3 linked regions of the Oryctolagus cuniculus genome follow. The protein of the gene in region 2 purifies or fractionates together with the protein of the main gene of each other region. This does not show direct contact. Links are inferred from orthologs where the notes say so. Each region holds a gene or a part of one and is shown on either strand. Other genes may lie near its edges.

Region 1 (4,387 bases), on a different chromosome or scaffold from region 2:
CTGAACGTGACTAGCCCACTTGGTATATGTGGGGCTCCCTCTCTGAATGGGTGTGAGTGCATGAGCCTGCAGTGTGCACAGGACTTGGTATCTCTGTATATGTCCCACTTGTTCCCACACGTCCGTGTTTGGATATGTAAGCACGTATGTCCCTATCCGTACAGCAGGGACTCAGCACCTGCGTGCTGTAAGCATGTCCCTATCTGCACGTGGGCTCCAGGAAGTGGATGTGTGCGGGCCTGCCCGCTCCTGTCCATCCACAGGTCTTCTTTCTGGCATGGCTGGTCAAGCGTCCTGGCCGAAGAGGTAGGTGGTAAGTTCGAGCCGGAGGCACCGGGCGTAGGAGCGAAGAGTATAGAAGAGGGTGAAGAAGTCCTGAGTGCTGAAGACAGTATCAGCCAGTGCGAATGCCAGGGTGGATGGGATGACACCGCGGCCGTACTCCACCATCCACGTGTTTGGCCCCCACTCCACAGCCGTTGCTTCGCCAGGCCCATGCACCACCGTCTCCCCTGGGGGACAATGAATACCCATGTGAGGAGCCCAGTCCTTCCACTGCTGCAGTTTCCCTGGCCCATGGACCAGTGAGGAATCAGGAATGGAGAGAGAGCTTCAAGAAAGGGAAAAGCTCTACCTCGCTGGCCGGGTGTCCCATGAGAGGGGTCAGGGGCCCAGATGGCCATTCCTAAATGTTCTTCTGTGGCATCTCCAAGGGGATGCCACCTCACCTGGCCACAGGCCTTTCTATGCAAGTCGTTGAAGTCTGCAATCCCTGGGCTGGTGCTGTGGCAGAGCGGGTAACGCTGCTGCCTGCAGGCTGGCATCCCATGTGGGCACCAGTTCGAGTCCCGGCTGCTCCACTTCCGATCCAGCTCTCTGCTATGGCCTGGGAAGGCAGTAGAAGATGGCCCAAGTGCTTGGGCCCCTGCACAGGTGAGAGCAGGGTAGGAGACCCAGAAGAAGCTTCTAGCTCCTGGCTTCAGATCAGTCCAGCTCTGGCCTTTGTGGCCAACTGAGGAGTGAACCACTGGATGGAAGACCTCTCCCTCTCACTCTCTGCCTCTCTGTAACTATGCCTTTCAAATAAATAAATATTTTTAAAATAAGTTAATTATTTTTTTTAAAGAAGTCTGCAATCCCAAGCCTCATTCAATTCAAGTAGAAAGTTAGCTAAACTTGGGCTGGACTTGTTAGAGAGGGAGCGCGCGGTTACAGGACTTGTGAGGCTTTCCGAGCTGTTCAGTCACAATACTGGCCATGCTCATCCTCCACCTCAAACCTGCTTGGAAATCCAAAGCTCTACTTTTAATATAAGTTGTTTCACTATTTAAAAAAGAAATGGAGAGGAAGATGATTGTCTTGTCTTTTAGGTATGAGAGAGAGCTTTTCTAATTACCCAGCTGTCTCCCCAACATTTGTTGGGGTATTGGCTGGATAAAACAGTGTTCAGGGCCGGCACTGTGGCATGGCGGGTAAAACTGCCGCCTGCAGTGCTGGCATCCCATATGGGCACCGGTTTGAGTACTGGCTGCTTCACTTCCAATCCAGCTCTCTGCTATGGCCTGGGAAAGCAGTGGAGGGCAGCCCAGGTGCTTGGGCCCCTGCACCCACGTGGGAGACCGGGAGGAGGCTCCTGGCTCCTGGCTGTGGATCAGCGCAGACCTGGCTGTTGTGGCCAGTTGGGGAGTGAACCAGCAGATGGAAGACTCTCTCTCTGCCTCTCCTTCTCTCTGTGTGTAACTCTTTCAAATAAAATAAATAAATCTTTTTTTAAAAAGTGTCCAGATAGACAAAAATAAATCAGACTTATTAACAGGAAGTTGTTATGTTTTGCTTCCTGTTAACAGAGGAAAGCAACAGGGTCTCTCAGCTCTGGCCAACCAACCACCTGTGGCTTTGTGGGGCAGTGGTCCTCAAAGCACCCCCTCTTCAACGCCATTGCTCGCTCTCCCAGCTGTGGGCGCTTTCAGTGTGAGGGCACTCACCTTCCCTACTCACCTGGGTAGAAGACTTCGCTTTTTGTGGTGCCCTCTCTCCATTGGTGGAAGGTGCCAGAGATGATGGTGTCGGAGATCTCAGCCCAGTAGCGCCCTGAGTGACAGACAGATGGACACCAACCATCAGGGCATCCGCACCATCACATACATGGCTCAGCCCAAGATCAGAAAGGAGTACACTGGCCCTTGCGCAGCCCCAGCCTCCCAGTCCGGCCCACCGCTAACACTGACCCGAGTGGCCGCGGGAGCCCAGGGCGGTGCCGAAGAGCAGCACGTACTCGGACAGCGAGGCGTGCAGAAGGCACATGGCGCCCATCCAGCCGCCCGCGTTCACGAACACCCACTGCAGCTCCTCGTCGGGCAGCACGTGTCCTGGGTGCAGCCGCCGCAGTTCGACAATCAGCCGAGAAAATGCCAGCTCGTGGTCCAGCCCTGGCGGAAACAGAGGAGCGGCGGCGGTATCAGGGCCAGCTCGGGTCCCAGGTTTGGGGACAGCGTCCTTGGAATCCCTGGCTCCGATCCTGGGCCGGCTGCCCGCTCCCGCCCTGTGCCCGCTTACCCGCGTACTGCCGCGCCAGCTGCGCGATCTCTTCACGCTGGAAGACGAAGTTCTGCGTACCCAGCCAGAGCCAGAGGATCTGGGTCAGCACCGCCACGACAACCAGAAGCAGCGCAGCCCACGCCCACCGCCGGCCCACGGCCCACTGCATCCCGGCGGCGGCCTGGCACAGCGCAGCGCGGCACGGAACCTGGGCCTCAGATTGGGACACTCACAGCTCCGAGCCCGCCGCCGGCAGCTCACGGCTCGCTCCCCCCGCCACCACCGTGGTACGGCTCGCCCTGGCCAATCCTAAGGGCCGCGGCAACCCAGCCCCGCCCCTTCGGTTGAACCATTTCCGCGTGGGGTGCGCGGAGCAGGGGGGCGGCGCCTCGCACTTGCACTGAGGGGGCGGGGCCGCGACGCTCAGCCGCGGGCGGTGGGGTCCTCCCGCAGGGTCCGACCCAGGGCCGCTGGACTTCGGGGGAAGGGTGGGTGGCGGTGAGACCCGCAATGGACTGGCCCGCCTGGGCTCAGGGGCGGGCGAAGCAGGCGAGCCCGGAAGTGGGGCCTTCTGAGACCAGGTTGTTAAGGTCGGCCTTGGCTCGTGCTTGGGCGGGAAGGAGCTGCCTCCTGGGACCGAGGTTATTAAGGCCCGCCTGGGCTCGCCCAGGAGCTGCAAAGGGGCAGTTCAGTCGGGGAGTGCCTCAGTCCAGAGGCAGTGACGTCTGAACAGTGTTTTGTTTTCTTTTCCACTTGAAAGGCAGAGAGAGATGGAGGAGGGAGAGAGAGCAAACGCCCCCCTGTCCATTGGTTCACTCCCCAAATGCTCATAACAGCCACACCCAGGATCTCTGTGGGGGTCTCCCCACGTGGGTGGCAGGTACCCAAGCACTTGAAGCCATTCTCCACTGCTTCCCAGGGTGCTCATTAGCAGGAAGCAGGAATCTGGAGCGAGGGACTCCAGTAAGGGATGGAGGCGCTGCAGGCGGCCTTTGCCAAAGGCCTGTCCCTGGCAGCGTTTTTAAGAGAGCCGACGAGGGCGTGCCAGCCCAAGGTGACCTACTCCAGCAGCAAAGGCCTGAAGGGCAGAGGTGGAATGCGGTCTGTTTTGAAGCAGAGCAGGGGAACCAGGAGAGAGGATTTTGCACAGATTGGCACCGGGCTGCCCGGGGGAGCCAGTGGAGAGCCAGGGATACTATGACTGTGGTCCCGATAAGAGAGGCGCTCTCAGAGCTGGAGCACTCTGGGAGTAACTGTCCGGGCTCCAGCTCTTCTTCCTGGGATACTTCCCACCTCCGCCTCCTTTGCTCCTTCTTTCTTGGCCGACATCCTGTTCTTGTCTACTGGGCAGCTGAGCATCCAGGTCTGGAGCTCAGATCCGGTCTGGAGAGAGGGTTAGGAGCTGCCATTGATTCAGGCAACAGATATATTTTTAAAAAAATTTTATTTATTTATTTGACAGGTAGAGTTACAGACAGTGAGAGAGAGAGACAGAGAGAAAGGTCTTCCTTCCGCTGGTTCACTCCCCAAATGGCCGCAATGGCTGGAGCTGCACCCATCTGAAGCCAGGAGCCAGGTGCTTCTTCCTGGTTTCCCATGCGGGTGCAGGGGCCCAGGCACCTGGACCATCTTCCACTGCTATCCCAGGCCATAGCAGAGAGCTGGATGGGCAGAGGAGCAGCTGGGACTAGAACCGGCGCCCATATGGGATGCTGGCGCTGCAGGCGGAGGATTAACCTGCGCTACTGTGCTGGCTCTGGCAACAGATATTTTGTAAGCATTTCTGTGTGCCAAATTCTGTAGCGGCCATGTGGGGATATGGCACCTCATCTTAGAGACATCACTGGGG
Region 2 (3,160 bases):
CCAGGTGGGAATACCATAGTCCTACCCGGGTAACTGCAGACTCGCAGTAGGAAGCCTCAGTAAGCAGTGCCATCGAGTTGGCTTTCCCTAGAATTCAGGCCGGAACCCTGAGGCGCAGCGGAGCTACCGCTGCGGGCTGCAGGCTGCAGGCATCACTCTATCTCGGGAACTCGTTGGGAGGTGGTTTGGGGTGGGAATGATCCGGAGGCTGGACCCAGCCCAACACCTGGGAACGTCCCTTTGGAAGAAACAGGAACACGACAGCAGGTGGTGGCTGAGAGTTTCCGTGGCCTGCACTTTTTCTGAGCGCTGTAGCTGCAGGCAGGAAGGACCGGCTAACGGTGCTGTGCCCTCAGCGAGGGCGGAGTCCTCAGTCACACTCCCAAGTCTGACCCTGGGCCAGTGCAGAGCAGCTCCCGGCCTCCCGGCCGCACAGTGGGCCTACTCTTCCTGCACCCGGCTTTCCCACGCATCTCGGGAACAGGGGTTGTGAAGGCAGCAGCTTTGTGATAGAAGGGGCAATCCAGGCTTAGGAAAACAAAGTGTTTTATTCAAGAAAAATAAGTTAAGACCTAGCGTACACACCGAACGAGCAGTCTCTGCTTTCGTGCCATATCTAATGGGCGGTGCCTTCTGCTTCTCTCTATAGGAGAACACTGTGAAGAACACGTTGCGTTTTTCAAACAGGTGTTTGGAGAGCAAGCTCTAATGAGGCCCACAACCTTCTGAAATCGCTTGGTAGTGTGGTCTTTTTTTTTTTTTTAATATATATATGTATATATAAATGTGTACAAAGTTAATTTATTGCATTAATAAAGCTCTTTAAACTACAAAATGTTACAGTAAAGTGTATCTACAACATTCTCAAATGCTACTAAAAATATGGTCTAGAACTTGGGTGATGGCTTACTCCTAAAAACAGGAGCGACAGCGCACCGCCTGGCCTTCCGCAGTGACAGCGAGCAGGTCATGCTTACAGCCATCCAGCGTCCCCTCCGCTTGCTGCCGGGCGGCGCTGGGCGAGGCGTCCGTGTCCGGTGGTTGCCTTCCTTCAGATTGCGTAACACTGCTTCACTAGCCAGCCGTGCGTTCCTGAGTTTAAACCTCTACAGCCACCGCTGCTGCTGCTCGGCGGCCTGGTGTTGGGGAACATCCCGGGTTCAGCTCGGCCTTGGCAGCGCAGCTTTGTCCAGGGGGGAACCTGGCAAAGTGACCGACCCTTAGACACAGTTCACAGTCACCAGGCCCTGGCAGAGGCCTAGAAATTTAGGAGTCGCTCTCGCTCAGTACCTTTGTATCGCTCTTGAGTGGCACAACTTTTGGCTTTATTTGTTGAAGGGCCTGTGGGGGAAAAGAATACTCTTCAGTCACTGCGGGAGCCAAGGTGTAGCTCAGAGACTCACGGGGCCAGTTTCTCTGCCCCAGAGAGGAAAGCAAGCCCCTCTTCTCAGCCTTCTAGTCCAGCACAAGTCATAAATCAAGGCCGCAGCCGTGTTCTGGGAGCCGCGGTCACTTAGTGGCAGTGGCCACAGACGTCGTCCGCTGACGAGGACAGTCCCACCGTGCGGGCAGCAAGGGCCCACGCTGCTCCCGCGAGGCGGGCGTGGGCCTGCTGCTCCGCAGACTGCTTCAAGGTGTGCCCTGGACCCCCTGCGCAGGCAGGGCGAGCAGCGAGACTGCACCAGCTGGCCGGTCATCAGCCAGCAGACTGCTCCTCTCGCCTCTCGGAATTTTTTTTACCCCGTGTTCCTTGTCAGATGCCCACCAGCACGGAAGGATGCCTTAGGGTAGCTTTCCCCCTAGTAACACGCTCCCCGCCTCCTGCCCCTGTTAAGACTAAGAACGCTCACCTATGTAACTGAGCAAGACCGGGAGGAATATCAACCCGTGCGTGGCGCCCAGCAGGACCATGGCCAAATACATCCTGAAGTAAAAGATCTGGAAAATCTGAGATTTGGCAAAAGCCAACACCACAATCCCTCCAAATTTTGTAAGTGTGATTCCACTGAATACCTAAAAGAGAAGAGCGCGTGAGAGCCCGCTGGTACCCGTCTGTCGGAACTGAGCCCTTTCTCTGCCAGGATTTCTCATATTCAAGGAGGCGGCGGCGGCGCGGGCACCCTGGTGGGGGGCTGCAGTCTACCTGTGCCTCTACGAGGCTGAGCGGGCTCAGGTATGAATGGGTGCAAGGCTGTTTGCTCTGCAGCGGCACTGCCTCCTGTCTGCAGACACACGTCTGTCTCAGGTGCACACGGAGCGTTCGGAAACAGAAGTGTTAGCTTTTCCTAACGTTCTGTTCCACAGAGGAGAAGGGGCTGGCGGCCAGGCTAACCCGGGACAGAGCTGAACTGGGAGACGCTGCAGACGTCAGCTCCACACTGCACCCTGGGCTCGAGCCTGTGCCGCGTGCAGCTCCTGCAGATCTGACTTCTCGCGGTTTCCCTGCTACAGAAGTCACACACACCGGTGCCAGGTGCAGCTGCTCCAGGAACTGCCAGGGACTTGGCCTCGCTGGCAGCTGCTTTCTAAAGCACGTCTCCGAACTTCAGTTCCTCCTCAGGAGTCGTCCCAGCCCTGGGCGCGCCCTGCGGGATACTCACAGAGCTGCCCATGTGAGCGAGCGCCTCCTCCGCGCGGGCCACACGGCTTCCTTTGGCACTCACTGTGAACGCTCTGGTTATGTGGCTGCAGAACTCCACGGAGATGCCACAGCTCTGAAATAAAGCACTTCCCTCAGCAGGGCTCTTGCCTGGTGCGGTGCCCCTCGCCCCTGCGATGTGTGCTGGAGTCCCACTCCCCCGCTCCCAGCACGGCCTGTGCCCCCGGGTCCTAGGGCGTGTGTGCATCTGGTGGGGGAGGTGCCAAAGCCTCCCAGCCACAGCCGGCCCTGCGCAGCCTGCACGCTGTTGTCGCTCCTGGCTGTCCCCACCCCGGCCCCACGGGACTCCCAGCTGGATGTGCACCTATCACCTCTGGAATGCTCACAGCTGCAAGATTGTCACTTAACTATCAAAAAGCACCTAGCCACTGGGAACTGGGCAGACAGCCCCCGGGGAGGGCAATATTCTGGATCAACAGTGAACGCCCTTAGGCTGCACACTGCCCCGTCCCTAGAGGGTAATAAAGCAGCGCCCAGGCTAGCCCTGGTAGCACGCCTCTG
Region 3 (3,646 bases), on a different chromosome or scaffold from region 2:
TGTGCCCCCAAAAAATTCTGAAGTGGGAAGGGTGAGGTCTCTATGAATGAGTCAGCTTTCCATCACTATAATACTGGACACAGATATTCATGAAAGAAGGGGGGTTATTTCACCTCATGGTTTTGGAAGATCAAGGTCCAAGATCAGGGAGGCACCACTGGTTCAGCCATCTGATGAGGCTGGAGGATGACAATGGAGTATGTGTGGCCAAATGATCCCATGGTGAGGCCAGAAGCAGAGCCAGAGAGAGCAGTTGGGCCTGATTCAGGCTGATACAGTGAGTCCTCTCTCAAGAGCTACCCTCTGAGGGCACTTCCCCCCGTGACTTAAGGATTTGCCACTAGGCCTCTCTCCTAAAAACCATAATTGAATCAGATCTCTGCCCTGCCACATTACCAAGTCATGACTTTGGGATGTAAATGTCTGCATGAATTCAGGAGCCAAATCATGTTCAAACTATAGTGGTCTCCAAGCACAAAATCTGCAATCATTTTCCCAGTGGGACATATTACAGTCACAGTGATCTTGCAGCCATGTCAACAGAATTTGTTTCTTTTTTCAATATTATCCTTTCTTGGTTATGTGACTTTGGGGGGGGGGATAAATTTAGAAAAATTCCTACTTTACCACTGTTATTTGTTTACTCAGCATTGTCTTGAACACTTCCCAAACTGCTCTCCCTTCTAAAGAAACAGTTCATATATCATGAGGGTCGTTTGATCTTCCTAGAATTTTGGCTCATCAAATGCTTCCTGTCCCATAGTTACAGGGTGAGGGTCACCTCAAAATTAACATTAGACTTGAAGAGAGATTGATAGAATATGAAAATTTAAACAGCAATGTGTGAGTGTACTTAACACTACTGAATTGCACACTTTAAAATGGTGAAGATGATGAGTTTCATGTTCTATCTGTTTTACTACAATCAATTTTAAAATGAGGAGAAATATTTAGATAGTAGGAAGATTTAACATAACCATGTCTAGTTATCACCATCTGGGATATCTTCCTGTGTATATTATTGTTTTGGGACTCTGATTATGAATAGAGATTATTAACAATAGAAGAGGCACTGCTATGTAGCAACAGCACAATTCCAGCTTATTCTGCTCACTAGGACTGCCAGCATTCAAATTATGCAATTATAGATAGGTTTTTTTAATTGGAGGAATTTCTGGTTATGTCCAATTTTGTGCATAAAGTGAGACTGTTTTGTTGTGCCCATTAAATGTATATAAACAATGACTGCATTGTATTAGAAAACTGAATAAGATAGTGCATTCAAGTAAAACTTACTTGAACTTGATTGATAGATCAATTGGCAGATAAAACATTTGATTGCTAGATAGATAGATAATATATTGGTTGACTAATTCAAAAGGCAAAAGATCTAGATCTCAGTGAGTTCCCAAATAGAAGTCAATACTCATTCCTAATTGAAACCTCTAAGCAGAGAAGGAACTTGCAACAAACACCATTCCTAGTGGTAAATTTGAGGTGCAGTCCTATTAATGTTCATAAACTTAGCAAATGCCTGGCAAAAACCATCAGTAATCTACTGGAGTTTAATAACCTAAAACGCAAGAAAAACTAAATGTGAGGCAGAGGAAAGAGACAAAACTGCCATTATTTTTAGATAATTTGCTCATCTGTTTTTGTAAACAAGCCAAGAAATTTAACTGCATAGATTAGAACTAACAGGAGAGTGCAGTGAAGTTAATGGATCAGAATGAACACATCAAACTCAGTGGCATCCCTCTGCACTAAGAAAAACCAAAATACAGTGTTCCATTCAGTATTCCCAATGAATGTCCTAGATATGAGGGAATCTTCAAAAAGTTCATGAAAGAGCATATTATGCAAAAACTGCATGGTTTTCAAATTCTTTTGGCATTAAAATAAACTTACCCTTTCATATATTTTTCCTTGAGTTTTTTGAAGTGCCCCTGCAGTAAGGGTAATAGAAAAAAAATCTGTACACCAGCGTTAAGGAGAACAGGGTAAGTGGGAATTTTGATCAGGGTTGGTCTCACTGAGACAGGGACGTTGGGAACAACTATAAAGAATTTGAGGGAGGGAGCCATAGATCTCAGAGGGAAAGCATTCCTGGGCAGAAAAGACTGTAAAAGCCCTGCGGCAAGACCATGTTCAGTTTGTTGAAGAACAACAAGGAATCCAGATGAGGAACAGTCACAGGCCATAGGGCAGAGGAATGGGGTGACTGGGATGTGGCAGGGGCAGGGGGAGTGTCGCTCCCCCTCTTCGTGGAGGAACGACACAGGACCCTGCGCTGTTCTTTCGTCTGCTCGGCCCTCCCCGGGTTTGCTGCTGGTTCTTCCCGGGTTGGCTACTATCCCTTCCACCTCCGTGGAAGGGCAGTTCCCCCTGGCCACATTCCCCACTTCCGCAGGGGAGCGGCACACCGCCGGCCGGCTTTCTCGGGGGCTGCACGGGTTCCCTTAGATGTTCCCCATAGATGTTCCTGGTGCACGCCGTCTCTCTCCTCCTTTATAGTCCTCCTCCGCCAATCCCAACTCGGCTGCCCACACGCCGAGTACGCTGCTCTCCAATCAGGAGCAAGTCCTACAGTTTATTAGTTGAACTGGAGGCAGCTGTGCGGAAGCTGTTTACTTCTCTCCCAACGCCATGTTGTGGGAGAGCAGATGCATAGAATAAGTCTTAATTCGAGTAACTTAGTCTAGTCCGGATTGCTCCCCACAGGGAGGGTGCAGAAAACGGTGGCTCTCATGTGGCTGTTAGGTCCTTGTAAAACATTTTCCTGGTAATCTGAAGGTGATGGAGGGTTTTGATCAGGGGTGTGATGTAATCTGACATCTGGATTCTGAGGCAAGACTGGACAGCATGCAAGAAAGGACAGAAGCGGAAAGGCCAGTGCAGAGACTGGTGTCAAATGACGGTGGTGACCTGGACCAGGGCAGCTGTGCAGGAAGTGGTGAGAACTGTTCACAGCCTTAGGAAGGGATGTATGGTCCAGGAAAAGTCAGCAGGCTTTGCTGATAGATTGGATATGAGGGTGCAGTAAGAAGGGAGTGCTGACTGACATCATTGACCGAGACTTGTAGCACTGTGGAAACAGCACGCAGGCCTGGGCCTCAAGATTTCCACAGTCCACGCGTGAACTTAGGTGTCCCCACCCTCAGCTCTGCCGGGAATGTCCCAGCCCCTCACACTCCCTAACCTGAACCCTTGATCTTCTGTTTCCGCCCAACAAAATCAGTTATTACTCAGCGTTCAGCCTTCTAGCTCTGTTTTTCCTATTGTCTTCTTTCTGCTTTGTGTCGGGGGCTTTGCGCCATCATCCTTATCATTCATGTATAGTGTCCACTTTAGGCTATAAAAATACGTAAGCCTTTATACCTGTCTTTTTTCACTGTTTTGGAAAGGGTCTGAAGTGTCCAGGACTCCACAGCTTTGCACCAGATAAGCCTGGAGGAATACTAATGATGGATCTCAAAGAAGAAAGACCGAGGGCACTGGAGTTAAGAATCAGCCGTGGGTTTGACTTGGCTTCATTCAATCCACACGGCATCAGCACTTTCATAGATGATGGTATGAACCAAAGAGCTACCAACATTGGGAAACGTATAATGACTCCCACATGACTGTGGAGAATAGATTGGTTATT

The links.
Region 1: the proteins of NPC1 (region 2) and SIGMAR1 purify together in Homo sapiens (affinity purification with mass spectrometry; 3 studies listed by BioGRID and IntAct, with this or other methods). This does not show direct contact. The link is inferred for Oryctolagus cuniculus from reciprocal best matches to the Homo sapiens genes NPC1 and SIGMAR1.
Region 3: the proteins of NPC1 (region 2) and PON2 purify together in Homo sapiens (affinity purification with mass spectrometry; 3 studies listed by BioGRID and IntAct, with this or other methods). This does not show direct contact. The link is inferred for Oryctolagus cuniculus from reciprocal best matches to the Homo sapiens genes NPC1 and PON2.

The regions. Positions count from the first base shown.
Region 1 is NC_091432.1:197,662,258-197,666,644, forward strand, and holds the start of SIGMAR1 (sigma non-opioid intracellular receptor 1), read right to left. Parts: upstream 2,854-4,387; 5' UTR 2,708-2,853; coding exon 2,557-2,707; intron 2,430-2,556; coding exon 2,229-2,429; intron 2,092-2,228; coding exon 1,999-2,091; intron 513-1,998; coding exon of another isoform or gene 383-512; coding exon 153-382; 3' UTR 1-152. UniProt on the Homo sapiens protein: Functions in lipid transport from the endoplasmic reticulum and is involved in a wide array of cellular functions probably through regulation of the biogenesis of lipid microdomains at the plasma membrane.
Region 2 is NC_091441.1:54,241,401-54,244,560, reverse strand, and holds the end of NPC1 (NPC intracellular cholesterol transporter 1), read right to left. Parts: intron 2,715-3,160; coding exon 2,601-2,714; intron 2,014-2,600; coding exon 1,851-2,013; intron 1,342-1,850; coding exon 1,291-1,341; coding exon of another isoform or gene 1,259-1,290; exon of another isoform or gene 1,202-1,258; coding exon 1,161-1,201; 3' UTR 730-1,160; coding exon of another isoform or gene 650-729; 3' UTR 530-649; downstream 1-529. Other genes in the region: RMC1 (regulator of MON1-CCZ1 complex), read left to right, coding at 1-4, 650-729. UniProt on the Homo sapiens protein: Intracellular cholesterol transporter which acts in concert with NPC2 and plays an important role in the egress of cholesterol from the endosomal/lysosomal compartment.
Region 3 is NC_091447.1:40,771,034-40,774,679, forward strand, and holds part of PON2 (serum paraoxonase/arylesterase 2), read left to right. Parts: intron 1-3,404; coding exon 3,405-3,570; intron 3,571-3,646. UniProt on the Homo sapiens protein: Capable of hydrolyzing lactones and a number of aromatic carboxylic acid esters. Has antioxidant activity. Is not associated with high density lipoprotein.